Linked DNA regions of Drosophila melanogaster. The protein of the gene in region 1 interacts with the protein of each later gene in a pairwise test. Each region holds a gene or a part of one and is shown on either strand. Other genes may lie near its edges. The genes, in order: CG1894, CG31549 and Lipt1.

Region 1 (3,754 bases):
AACTTCGCAGCCACTTCAATGGGCTTGAGGAATCAGTTCCATGGGATGTCATCGATTTTTCATTAATACCTGGATTTTACCTAATTTCCGCAGGCCTTGAATTTTGATTATCTCGCTAATGTGATTTTTATTTTAGACTGTCTAAGGTACACCGCAAAAAATAAAATAAGATAAGGACATTCTTGTAGATGAGTGCAATCAGTTTACTAGTGTAAATTGTTGGCATACAAAGTGGCATACATATATCATGAAAATGTTCTACTTTCGTCCTGTGGGTGTCTTCCAGGAGAGGCGATTCCTGTGAATGGTCAACCTCGGCTTTTTAAACTGTGCGAGCCCACGGCGATCTTCAATTATCGATGAAGTAGTGTAGAACATGATGTGGTCAACCTTGTAGTACTTCGTCATCCCCATAAATTCTAAAGTGCTTATTATGTCCTCCTCGCGGAAGCCAGTCGCTTTGCTCAGCTCTTCGATGGTCACCAGGTCCGGTGATGAGTGGTGCCTCAGCAGATTGAGGAGGATGTGGCCCCAATAGCTGAGGTAACAAAGTCTGGCAACTTTCGACAGCGGCTTCTTGGGACCTCCGATGCATGCCTCCCTGCGAGAGATCTCGTAGCTCAGATCAATCAACAACTTTCCGTATCCCTTGCGCATATAGGGCGGTAAAACAAGGATGCAATTCAGGTTGATATTCAGCATAGTCTTCTCCCTGGCGAAGTAACCTGCAAAGTGCTCGCCATCCTTGTCCTTCAAACACAGGATATAAAACAAGAACGAACTCGAGCTGTAAAGAATTTTCTTGTTTTCCAGAAAGAGCTTTGACATTAGGCAGAGGCACTGGCAATACAGCTGCTCCTTATGGCCATCGACCTCGTAGATATAAATATTGTCTTTTCGGTATAACAAGCTGCCCGGCGGACACCTCTTCTTGCAATCGTATAGGTGGTAGGAGTAACTTTTCCGCAAGCACATGTATTTTAGGCAGAATTCACAAACGTAAATGGTGGTCGCCTTGTCGTTTATTACAGGATAGGGACTGGAAGACGTGGTCTCGATCTCGTAACGCCCAAATTGCACCTTTTCGATGTTTCTTATGACTTTCACTTTCGCGTCCTCTTTCTCTTTCTGGACATCACTTTTTTCATTATCTATTGTCTCCTGGCGCTGGCGATCATCCACATTGCTACTGGCATTAGTGTGTAATAAAGAAATCATATTAGGTTCCTTGACGCCTTCCAATTGCTTCTTCGGTGTAGCCCCTATTCTTTGAGCTTCGATGCACGATCCAGTAATGGTTTTAGTTTCCTGAATGTTTTTTTGAAGAGATGAATCGTTCTGAAGCTGGGATTTCCCCATTTCGGACTTAGAAGCACTTTGGCCTAAACCGCGAGTCGCGGAGGATTCCTTGGCATTAGTCTGAAGAGTGGCAAAAAAAAAATAAATTATCAGCAGTTTTTCATTCCTCATATGATATTCTTTGACCAGTATTGTTCTTACCAATTGCAGGGCTCTCGGAATGTCCGGCAATTTCGAACTTATCCCGTCCTGATCGCCCAACGGCTGATACTTTAAATGGTCACCTGATCTGTTTTCCTTGTCCATTTGTCAATTCCTATTGCGAATTTCACCCTTTTTAGAAAGCGTGGTTTTTCACTAGTGATGACACATTTAGCTTGATATCGATTAGTGATATCAATAATGAAACGATAAAGTTTGTTGTCAAAAAATCGAATCATCTAAGGAAGCACCAATATCAAAGCATTAAAGTTATTTTTAAATTTTAATTCCAATTTAACTTTCTGAACATATATTGAGCAAAAATATATATTATACAATAAGTTGTATACATTTTTTTCAGTGAGAAAACATTTCGGGATATAATCTCAGTCCTACGCCACACCCTGCTACCTTGATCTATCGAAGACGCCAGTGCAGGGACAACCCGGCTCAATACTAATTAAAATAAATGAACATTTACGTCGTCACAGCAGGTGGATGTGAGGGCGAGAGGCCAGGAGACCGGGCGAAAGATTAGGTGACGAGCCCGGGCCAACGGGAGACATCATTAAAATGCATGGTTCAAACGGTGCGTATACTTAATATAGATTGGATTGAGAGTGTGTGGATGGCGGGATGGGGGGGGGGGGGGGGTTCTAGCAGGATGGAAAGCTCCTGGATGAGTTGGCTCCTTTTGCTACAGCATTCGCTTGCGGTGGCTGTAATCTTTATGCGCCATGTTTTTATTTGTATTTATTATTGCGTTTGCGGAGAGCAGAGTAGCGAAGAGCACACTTTGTTTGCAGGTGAAATATTCCACGCATCCAGCGAAATGAGAATTTATTGACTTCACTCTGCATATGTGCGTGTGTCTGTGTGTGTGTGCCTTTTCTATAAGAGTCTCTGTTTGCGTACACGTAAAAATATTATAGCGATTTGATATATAGCTTTGTGCTGCAAAATATCTATGCGCTGCAGAAATATAAAAATGTCATGTCTCTACTAGAGAATATTACACAAAAATGATTAAAATTATATACATACTTCGAATCTCATTAAAATCAAACACTTTTTATTGCTGTGCTGCTTCGTTTCCGCTTGAAACGTGCCCCCACTGCATATTTATCTACGTCACACAAGTTTGATAAACACAACCATGGCTTCGAGACAACTCGAACGTCTGTTTGCATTTGTGCTTAATAACTTTTAAATGATGCGGGGAATGCCTTTGAAAACGAAGTCAACTGAAAGGAGGTTCCTGGGCCCCGGAGTCATACTCCCTAATTAGAGCCGTAGAGTCGTAGGTGTGTGCAGAACTATTCAAACAGGCCAAAGAAGTCGAGCTAACTTGAAGCTTAAATATTTTTAATAAAAATTCTTTTGTTATTTCGATATGTTTAAAGCACAGCACAGCTTCTTGTTAATGTATATATACATATACAATATTCTAATCCCAGCTTAATTTCACGCCTCCAAGCTTTTTGGTTCCTTGTTATTACTCGATACCATCAGTCTTATAAAAATATTAAGGCCAATGTTTGGGCTGGTAGCTCTGGATCGATACCTATTAGCCCTTGACCTGTACGGTGAAGATAAGCGCTGGGCTCCCAATGGGCTTTGCGAAACGGTTTCCATGGGGCCACGTAGTGTTGGGTGGGTTTGGACGGGCTTTTGTTTAGCCAGCTGAACATTTGGAAAATGGTTACAAACAGTTTTGAATGCCCATAATTGATGCAGGAGGAGCATGCCCAGAGCCCGGCAATCGCACTTCAATATGCATGCCAGTGTGCACTGAATACCCAGTTCCAAGTTACCATCCGGTTGGAATCAAACCAAGTGTGGTCAGGCGTCTCTGCTGGGCTGCCGGATGCAAAGCCGGAATAGTGGTCGGTCGGGTTGCGTTAATTAATAAACTGGGCCTACTTTAAGACGACGCCTGCGTTGGCCAATTGCCATGGCATCCATGCAGTCGGGCAACTAGGCAACTAGGCAGTCGAGCCGTAACCGCAACAACTTCAATGCAGTTTTGTCTGCCACAAAGCCGAATTTCAGTAACTGGCAGAGATTGCATCCTTTGCGGATACTTAACGAGTCGACGCCTGAGGAACGGTCCAATCCCAAACTGATGCCCTCAAAGCCGTATAATTGGCCAGCGATGCGCCATCATCGCCGGCATGGACTCGATCGATTCCTTTGAGCATTAGCCAAATGCCGCATTTTTGAAGTAATAAAGCACAGGTCAATCTCAGTTGTG
Region 2 (3,754 bases), about 23 Mb from region 1:
GCGCAAGAGGAAAACAGGGAAAGAGAAGAACGCGAGAAACGTGAAAAGAAAATTAAGGAGGGCATAACTGCAGAGGGTAACAAGCGCAGGGAAAAAGAGGAGGCTGAGAGAAAGCATTGGGAGAAACTTGATCGATTACAAAGGGAGAGACAGGAAATGAAACACCTAAATAAAAAGCGGCCGAAAAAGGTTAAAGTCGACGGGCAAAATGCCATTGGGAAACAAGACGAAGAGGAGCTTTTTACCAGACGTTGCCCAGAAAGCCCGAACCAGGAGAAGATGTATAGGGATTTAAGAATGCAAGAGATTACCCTGAGTGAAAAAACGGAGCTGAAGCTGCAATGCGAGGCAAGAAAGGTGGCGAAGCGGCTTCAGCGGCACCTGTTAGGTCGACTTGGAATGCACGGAGAAGGAGAGGTTCATTTGGGCCAGAAAAATTATCCACAGAAAGTGGCAAGCGAGAGAAAAGCAAATAGCCAGACGGAGAATTGGTCTGTGAAGAATCTCTCCGGAGACATGATGAAAGTGGGGCTAACTGGCAAGGATGTGTCGAACGTTCGACGAAGTTTTCAGCAACTAGATCGATATGAGAATGCCAAAGTCCGCTTGAAAAAGCTCCATGAAAGGAATAGCAGGATTTTTGAAGAGGTGCAGAAGTTTCAGGTGCTCGATAAACTGCGCTTGGAAGCAGGAGAACTGGAAGCTCAAAAATCTTTGAACAAGCGTTTCGAGCTAAGATCTTCAAAGGCGCGCCCGTCACAGAAAAATGCAGAGAGACCAATCAGTTCCAGTCAAGAGTACTTTCAGCCAGGATCCCTGCATACTCGCAGCGAGCGATGGGATCGCTTTATTGGGAGTGACGAGGAATCCGGAATGGAGGATCCTCAAAATCGGGGTCGCAACAGCGCCATCCTCTCTAGCAGCGAAAGCGACCCGGTTCCGGAACCCCGTTACACCCTTGAAGGCAAGTACTGTCCGTTCAAGAAAACATACGCGGTGGAGCCCCAAAATGCTCAACACATCCCACATGAAGAATCAGAGCAGGGAGAAGATTGTCGGAAGACACCACCACCAAGTTCACACTCTACTGAGGAGGCAGAATCGGACGAGGAACGAGCACGAGGTGGCGGTGGCAATCCAAGTGGCATTGGCATGACTTACTGCACACGAACAGGAAAGAAGCGTTTTTCGCAGATCAAACAATGCGAGATTGACCACGATTCTGGCGGGCTAAATGAGGATCGGGTGTTTTTCGGACACCTTCTCACGCAGGCTCGGACATTCGATTGCAGTCCGGATATATTGCGCGCGGAGAACCGTCTTCTGAAGAAAAAACTGGCTAGAGCTAAAAACAAATATCTGCAGTTGTCAGTTCTGCGAATGTCCAAGTATCTCATGAGTGTGTTCGAGAATAACGAAGCTATCGAGAGTTCCGAGGAAGAGAATGAATCTCTGGAAAATGTAGAGCTCGAGCAGATCTATCTGCAAGAGACCGATAGCACTATGCTATTTCCCAGGCCAATCTTTAAGACTCTGATGTTAACTGTGGTTACATCCAACGAGTCCATTTCTCCTGACCTCGCGTACAAAATTACCAATTTGGAAGATGAGCTGAAGGCTCACCTCAAGAAGATTTCTAGACGCGCTTTTGCACAACGAGGTGCAGGAGCTCTGAGGCGGAGAGCCAAGTACTTGATGGACCAGCAGCGTCAACTACAAAGTCGCCAACTGTCCGAGGTATGTCGCAATTCCGAGGAGCAGACTTTAAGGCTGTGGGATCGACTGACCAGCAGCAGTGACTCCTTGCGAGGGATCAGGGATCTCTTTCGCGATCATTGCGACCTGCGAGACCCATTGTTGTGCGCCGCACTCCAAAGCATCGAGCGTCTCTACAGGGAGTGGAAGGATCAGCGGTTTAGCGTGAATTGGAAACAAAATTGATTTAATTTTCCTTTTTTTTTAATGGCTTCATTTTTCGTTCCTTTTGAAATTCGATCTTACCAGCTATTTTAATTACATTAAGGGCTAGCCTAATTAAATTGTGTACATACATAGTTATTTGCGTGGGGTAGAGTGGAAAAGGTTTGGTTGATTGAACACAGCACTCCAAAATTCAAAAACTATTTTCCACCGACACATTTTGAAAATTCCAACCGCTAGAGAGAGAGCTTTTCGATAAGCTTTTCCGCCACAGCTGATGTGGAAAAGCTATCACTTGCCAGCTGGAACTGCGCTTCTTCTTAGATGTCTGTCTATCGTTTCCAGTGATCGAACTTCGCTTAGCGTAAAAGAAACACCCCACGATGTCATCCTTCAAGGACAAAGTGATTATTGTTACCGGCGCCAGCTCCGGCATCGGAGCAAGTGCCGCCGTCCATTTGGCGAAACTCGGAGGGCTCCTGGTCATCGTGGGTCGCAACGAGGAGAAGCTGAAGGAGACGGCCGACAACATTGTGGCGGCCGGAGGAGCAACGCCATTGGAACTGCAGGCGGACATGACCAAGGAGGCGGAGGTGCAGCAGATTGTGGGCGCCACTCTGGCCAAGCACGGTCGCATCGATGTGCTCGTTAACAATGCGGGCATCCTGGAGACAGGCTCCATCGAAGCCACCAGCCTGGAGCAATTCGATCGTCTGATGAACACCAATGTGCGTTCCCTGTACCAACTAACCATGCTGGCCACTCCAGAGCTAGTCAAGACCAAGGGCAATATCGTAAACGTATCCAGTGTCTGTGGACTGCGTGCCTTTCCTGGTGTCCTGGCCTACAATGTGTCTAAGGCAGCGGTGGACCAGTTCACGGCCTGCATAGCCCTGGAACTGGCCCCCAAAGGAGTCCGCGTAAACGCCGTGAATCCCGGCGTGATTGTGACTGACATTCACAAGCGTGGCGGCATGGACGAGGAGACCTATGCCAAGTTCCTCGAACACTGCAAGATAACCCACGCCTTGGGCCGTCCTGGCGATGTCAAGGAGGTGGCTGCCGCCATTGCCTTCCTGGCCAGCGATCAGGCCAGCTTCACCACGGGAATCAGTCTGCCCGTCGATGGAGGTCGTCACGCCATGTGCCCGCGATAGGATGCGGATGAGCAAATGGTGGCATTTATCGAATTTAGCGTCATTTTCAGTAGTTAATTTAAAGAACACGACTAAAATACAACACAATACATTAAAAGTGCGCAGTTAAGATTTCTTGGATTTTTCCTCTCATAATAAACTAATATATTGATAAAATATCTATAATCTATTATTATCTTCTTCTGGGATCCCAAATAGCTGATTATATTGTCAAAAACTCTCACAACCTCTCTGTCTAAAGAGGTGACCACTTAAAATTAAAAACTGATCATACATACATTCAACTATTTATTAATATACATACATACATACATATGTATATGCATAGTAGTTGGATAAAATAACAAATTAACAGTTAATTAAATTTAATTGAATTTCACAACCACTGGAAATGTGTAGCTTGGAAGGTTCCAGCCTATCGATAGCGTAATCGGATTGCAGCCCGGGAATTGTTGACTTCTGGGTCGGGTCTTCAATGTCACCAATCACTATCAGTTAAACCGTCGAGTGGATCACTTCAACATGCCCAGTTTCAAGGATAAAGTTATAATCGTGACCGGAGCCAGTTCGGGAATTGGAGCGGGTACTTCGGTGCTCTTGGCTAAACTGGGAGGCCTGCTCACCATCGTGGGCAGGAATTTGGATAAGCTCAACGAGACCGCGGAGCAGATAGTGGC
Region 3 (3,754 bases), on another chromosome or scaffold:
ACAAATCTTACCGCTTCCACTTCCACGCTTAGTTTCAGTTTCATGTCCTGCTCATCGCCCTTCACCTCCAGTTCCTTCTGCACGGTGAACTTGGGAGTCTTGCCGATGACCCAGTCCCAAGAGCTGTAGTTGGAGCGCAATTCCTCAATGCCGGGGAACCATTTCTCTGTGGGATTGACCAGCTGAAAGCCGCGCTGCTGCATCGTCTGTGTGCTGCCGCCGTCTTCAAGCGTAGTTGCAGCCGTTCTCAAATACTCGTAACCCACGGCGGAACGCAGCTGAGCAACGTTCACCGTGCGATTGACATCAACCAGGTTGCGAATGGGCGACGGCACCGAAGCCGTGGCCTTGCTAATATAATTGGCCGGCTCCCGCACCAGAGATTCGCCCAAGTGCAATTTGTTGGCGCTGGCCAAAATGGTGCAGTGATGGTACGAGTTCGGGTGTCCCAGCTTGGCCGCAGTGCCGGAAATCTGTAATTGAACAAGGGCATACTCGTTGAGTGGGCAAATAAAGACCAGATGCACAGCCCCAGCTGTTGGTTAAGTGAGCTGATGCCAATGTGAGGGATCAGCCGGGGTCGCATCATTCCTTGATAAGAGCCACCGCTCCTCCTCACCTTCTTATTCATCACTACAATGTCGTCGCGCTCATTTATCTCTGCCTTGATGGCCCATTCGCGGAACAAGGCCCTGGTCACGATGTTCAGGTTGTACTTGCGATCGTAGCGCTCTCTGGGCGAGAAAAAGGTGCAGTTGAGGTTCCCAAGATCATGGTACACCGCTCCACCGCCACTATTGCGGCGTGCAAGTGTTATGCCGCGTTCCACCAGCTGCGAAACATTAGCCTCGGTGAAGGGATTCTGGTGGCGACCAATGACTACGCACGGGTCGTTGGCCCACAGCAGCAGCACATGGTGGCGGCTGAAATCAAAGTTTTTGTACAGCCAATCCTCTAGAGCGAGGTTGGTGAACACATCGCTGGACTGCGAGATGAACACGGACTTCTTGATCTCCGAATCGGGAACCACGGGCGGTGGCTGGCGCCTCTGCTTTTTAATCTCCTGCTGTCCAGCAGATGGTGGCTCCACTCCGCTGGATGCCAGGCGCGTGGCCTGAGCGGCGGAGGAGAGAAGTAGCCGCAGCTGGCTGGAATTGCGTCGCAACAGCATGCTCATGGCTTACACAAGGAAGTGGGGCGTACGGGTGTGTGTGATTTCTGTTGCCAGGTGATCTGGGACACAATGCACTTGCAAGCGAAACAAGGTCAATGGTGTCGAAAAAAGCTTTTGGCTGGTTGATTGGTTGGTTGGTTGGTTGGTTTCTACGGTTGTCGTCTGCCTGGTTCTGTGTGGTCCGTGTGTGCTCTTCTTTAGGTTATGTATGGTCTACTATCTACGCTATTCGTTTTGGTCTTTAAATGGCTTTGGTCGCTCTGGACTTTAGACTGTGGCGTTCTTAGTGGCTCGGGATGTGTTTGCAGCCACGGAGCTGGCCGAGATGAGGTATTCGTGCAGGGCGGGCGTCTGATGCAGCCACTTCCACGTTTGATGCAGACCACAGACACGCTTACGGAGACCCAGGCAGTCCTTGTTGGCACAGTTCACTGGCATACTACGCCTCACACCCATCCAGGTGGGGGATACAACGAATCCGGTGTTTACGGGGGGCCGCAACGTTACGGGGCCCAAATAAGATGGCTAAAGGGTTTCCTTTTTAGCTGACACCAAAATTTTCCACTCTTTGTTCGCGGCGCACGGGAACTGCGGGGGGCGGGGGCAAGGCGGATGATCGCAGTGGGCGGGGGTAGCAGTTATAGCACAAACAAACGAACGAACACAGAGCCGATCGAAAAGCAGCTGCGCGTGTGGAAATATCACGACCGATTGGCTTTCGTTTCAGATGAGCAGTGGTGCTCGCTGCTCTTGTTCTTCCTCGACGGTCCCCAAATGCCATTCGCAGCGAACGACGAAAGCTCCGGTCATTAAAAAAAAAAAAAAACAACGGCACTCTGGCGCCGCACTTAATTTATTTTCATCTTTTTAATTCGAACTTGTATAATTTACGCTAAACATGTGTGATAATCCGAGACGTCTACAACAGATGTGACATTAATATGTGTTATATTTTATAAGCAGCATACTTTGAGAGCCCCTTCAGTTTGGAATACCCCCATTATTAATGTAAGCCGCCTCTTCGGGATCAATTGGCTTGCGGGCAAATCGTGCCGGCAGCTCGTAGTCCTCAATTGCTGGTCCACCGGCCAACTAAATGTAGAAGGGACAATTACGAAGATTAGTTATGATGCACAGAAGAAGCCGTGGTATTGTGTATAAATGAAATGGGCTGGGTTAACCTTTTTGCCTCCTGCGGCCTGGGAACTTGCCTTCTGGTTTGCTGTCTGGGCGCCCGGCACTCCTGCACCACCCTTGCGGAAGTGTATGAGCGGTACGCGCTTAGCCAGCGCAACTAGTGTTGGTCGAACCATAGCAACAGCAATTGAATTTCTACCAAAAAGCCAAGGCAAAAGTAAAAGTTACGTGAATAACAGCTGACTGTAAACTCATACAAGCGCTGCCAGATCGTTAAAATTGCATGCCATTCGCCGCGCAATGGATTATTATCGTTATTGAAATTTACGTGATCCTGTGAATGGCTAAGGCAGATAAGAGGAAGCGCAAAAAACTATTTTGGTCCAAATCGGTAATATTTTTATATTTAAAATGAATTGGGGACAGAAGATAACCGGCAGCCGACGGCCCTAACTTCTGGACGGACATCGCCAGTATATGGATTGCTCCTAAAACTAGCAAACCAACGTACTTATGCTCTATGCAACAATAAATGTCATATGAAAACAAACTATTGAAGACGTTTTTATGAGTATAACCGGTAACTATTTCATTTGTTTATTATATTAATGACAAATAAACTTATACGTAAACATTCCTTTGATAGATTTTCATGTGTATATCCTTCTCTGTGCAGAAAAACGAAATTAAAGTAACATCTCGGATACTTTCGCAGCAATTGTATAAGCCATACAAATATGAACGCTGCTGGAGGAGGTAGTGGTGCCCAGGCGGCCGCAGTGGCGGCAGGCAACAACAGTCTCAGCCACAATGCGCTACTTTCCACGGCCTCAGGAGCCACCACCATGCCTATGGCCCAACTGGCAGACGGTTGGTTGGAGCTGGAGTCCGACCCAGGTCTCTTCACACTGCTTCTCAAGGATTTTGGATGTAATCTATTTGAATATGCCTTGTTCCACACATCCTATTAAAATATGTACTATCCTTAGGTCACGATGTACAGGTGGAGGAGGTGTACGACCTACAGAAACCCATCGAGAGTCCATATGGCTTCATATTTCTCTTCCGCTGGATCGAAGAGCGACGCGCCAGACGCAAAATTGTGGAGACAACTGCTGAGATATTCGTCAAGGATGAGGAGGCCATTTCCAGCATTTTCTTCGCCCAGCAGGTAGTCCCCAATAGCTGTGCCACACACGCGTTGCTTTCGGTGCTCCTGAACTGCAACGAGAACAATCTTCAGCTGGGCGACACCCTGAGTCGACTAAAAACCCACACCAAAGGCATGAGTCCGGAGAACAAGGGGCTGGCTATTGGCAACACTCCGGAGCTGGCCTGTGCCCATAACTCACACGCAATGCCGCAGGCTCGGCGCCGTCTAGAAAGGACGGGAGCGGGCGTCTCAAGTTGCCGCTTCACGGGTGAGGCGTTTCACTTCGTTAG

The links.
Region 2: the proteins of CG1894 (region 1) and CG31549 interact in a two-hybrid assay, tested with the Drosophila melanogaster proteins (one large-scale study listed by BioGRID).
Region 3: the proteins of CG1894 (region 1) and Lipt1 interact in a two-hybrid assay, tested with the Drosophila melanogaster proteins (one large-scale study listed by BioGRID).

The regions. Positions count from the first base shown.
Region 1 is NT_033777.3:28,482,503-28,486,256, reverse strand, and holds CG1894 (uncharacterized protein), read right to left. Parts: upstream 1,701-3,754; 5' UTR 1,606-1,700; coding exon 1,501-1,605; intron 1,420-1,500; coding exon 259-1,419; 3' UTR 195-258; downstream 1-194.
Region 2 is NT_033777.3:5,630,093-5,633,846, forward strand, and holds CG31549 (uncharacterized protein), read left to right. Parts: upstream 1-2,099; 5' UTR 2,100-2,303; coding exon 2,304-3,077; 3' UTR 3,078-3,229; downstream 3,230-3,754. Other genes in the region: CG31551 (uncharacterized protein), read left to right, coding at 1-1,941; CG12171 (uncharacterized protein), read left to right, coding at 3,600-3,754.
Region 3 is NT_033778.4:16,195,204-16,198,957, reverse strand, and holds the start of Lipt1 (lipoyltransferase 1), read right to left. Parts: upstream 1,917-3,754; 5' UTR 1,631-1,916; coding exon of another isoform or gene 1,442-1,630; 5' UTR 1,178-1,441; coding exon 620-1,177; intron 474-619; coding exon 12-473; intron 1-11. Other genes in the region: CG42837 (uncharacterized protein), read right to left, coding at 1,442-1,630; CG44242 (uncharacterized protein), read right to left, coding at 2,156-2,266, 2,356-2,487; caly (calypso), read left to right, coding at 3,049-3,241, 3,301-3,754.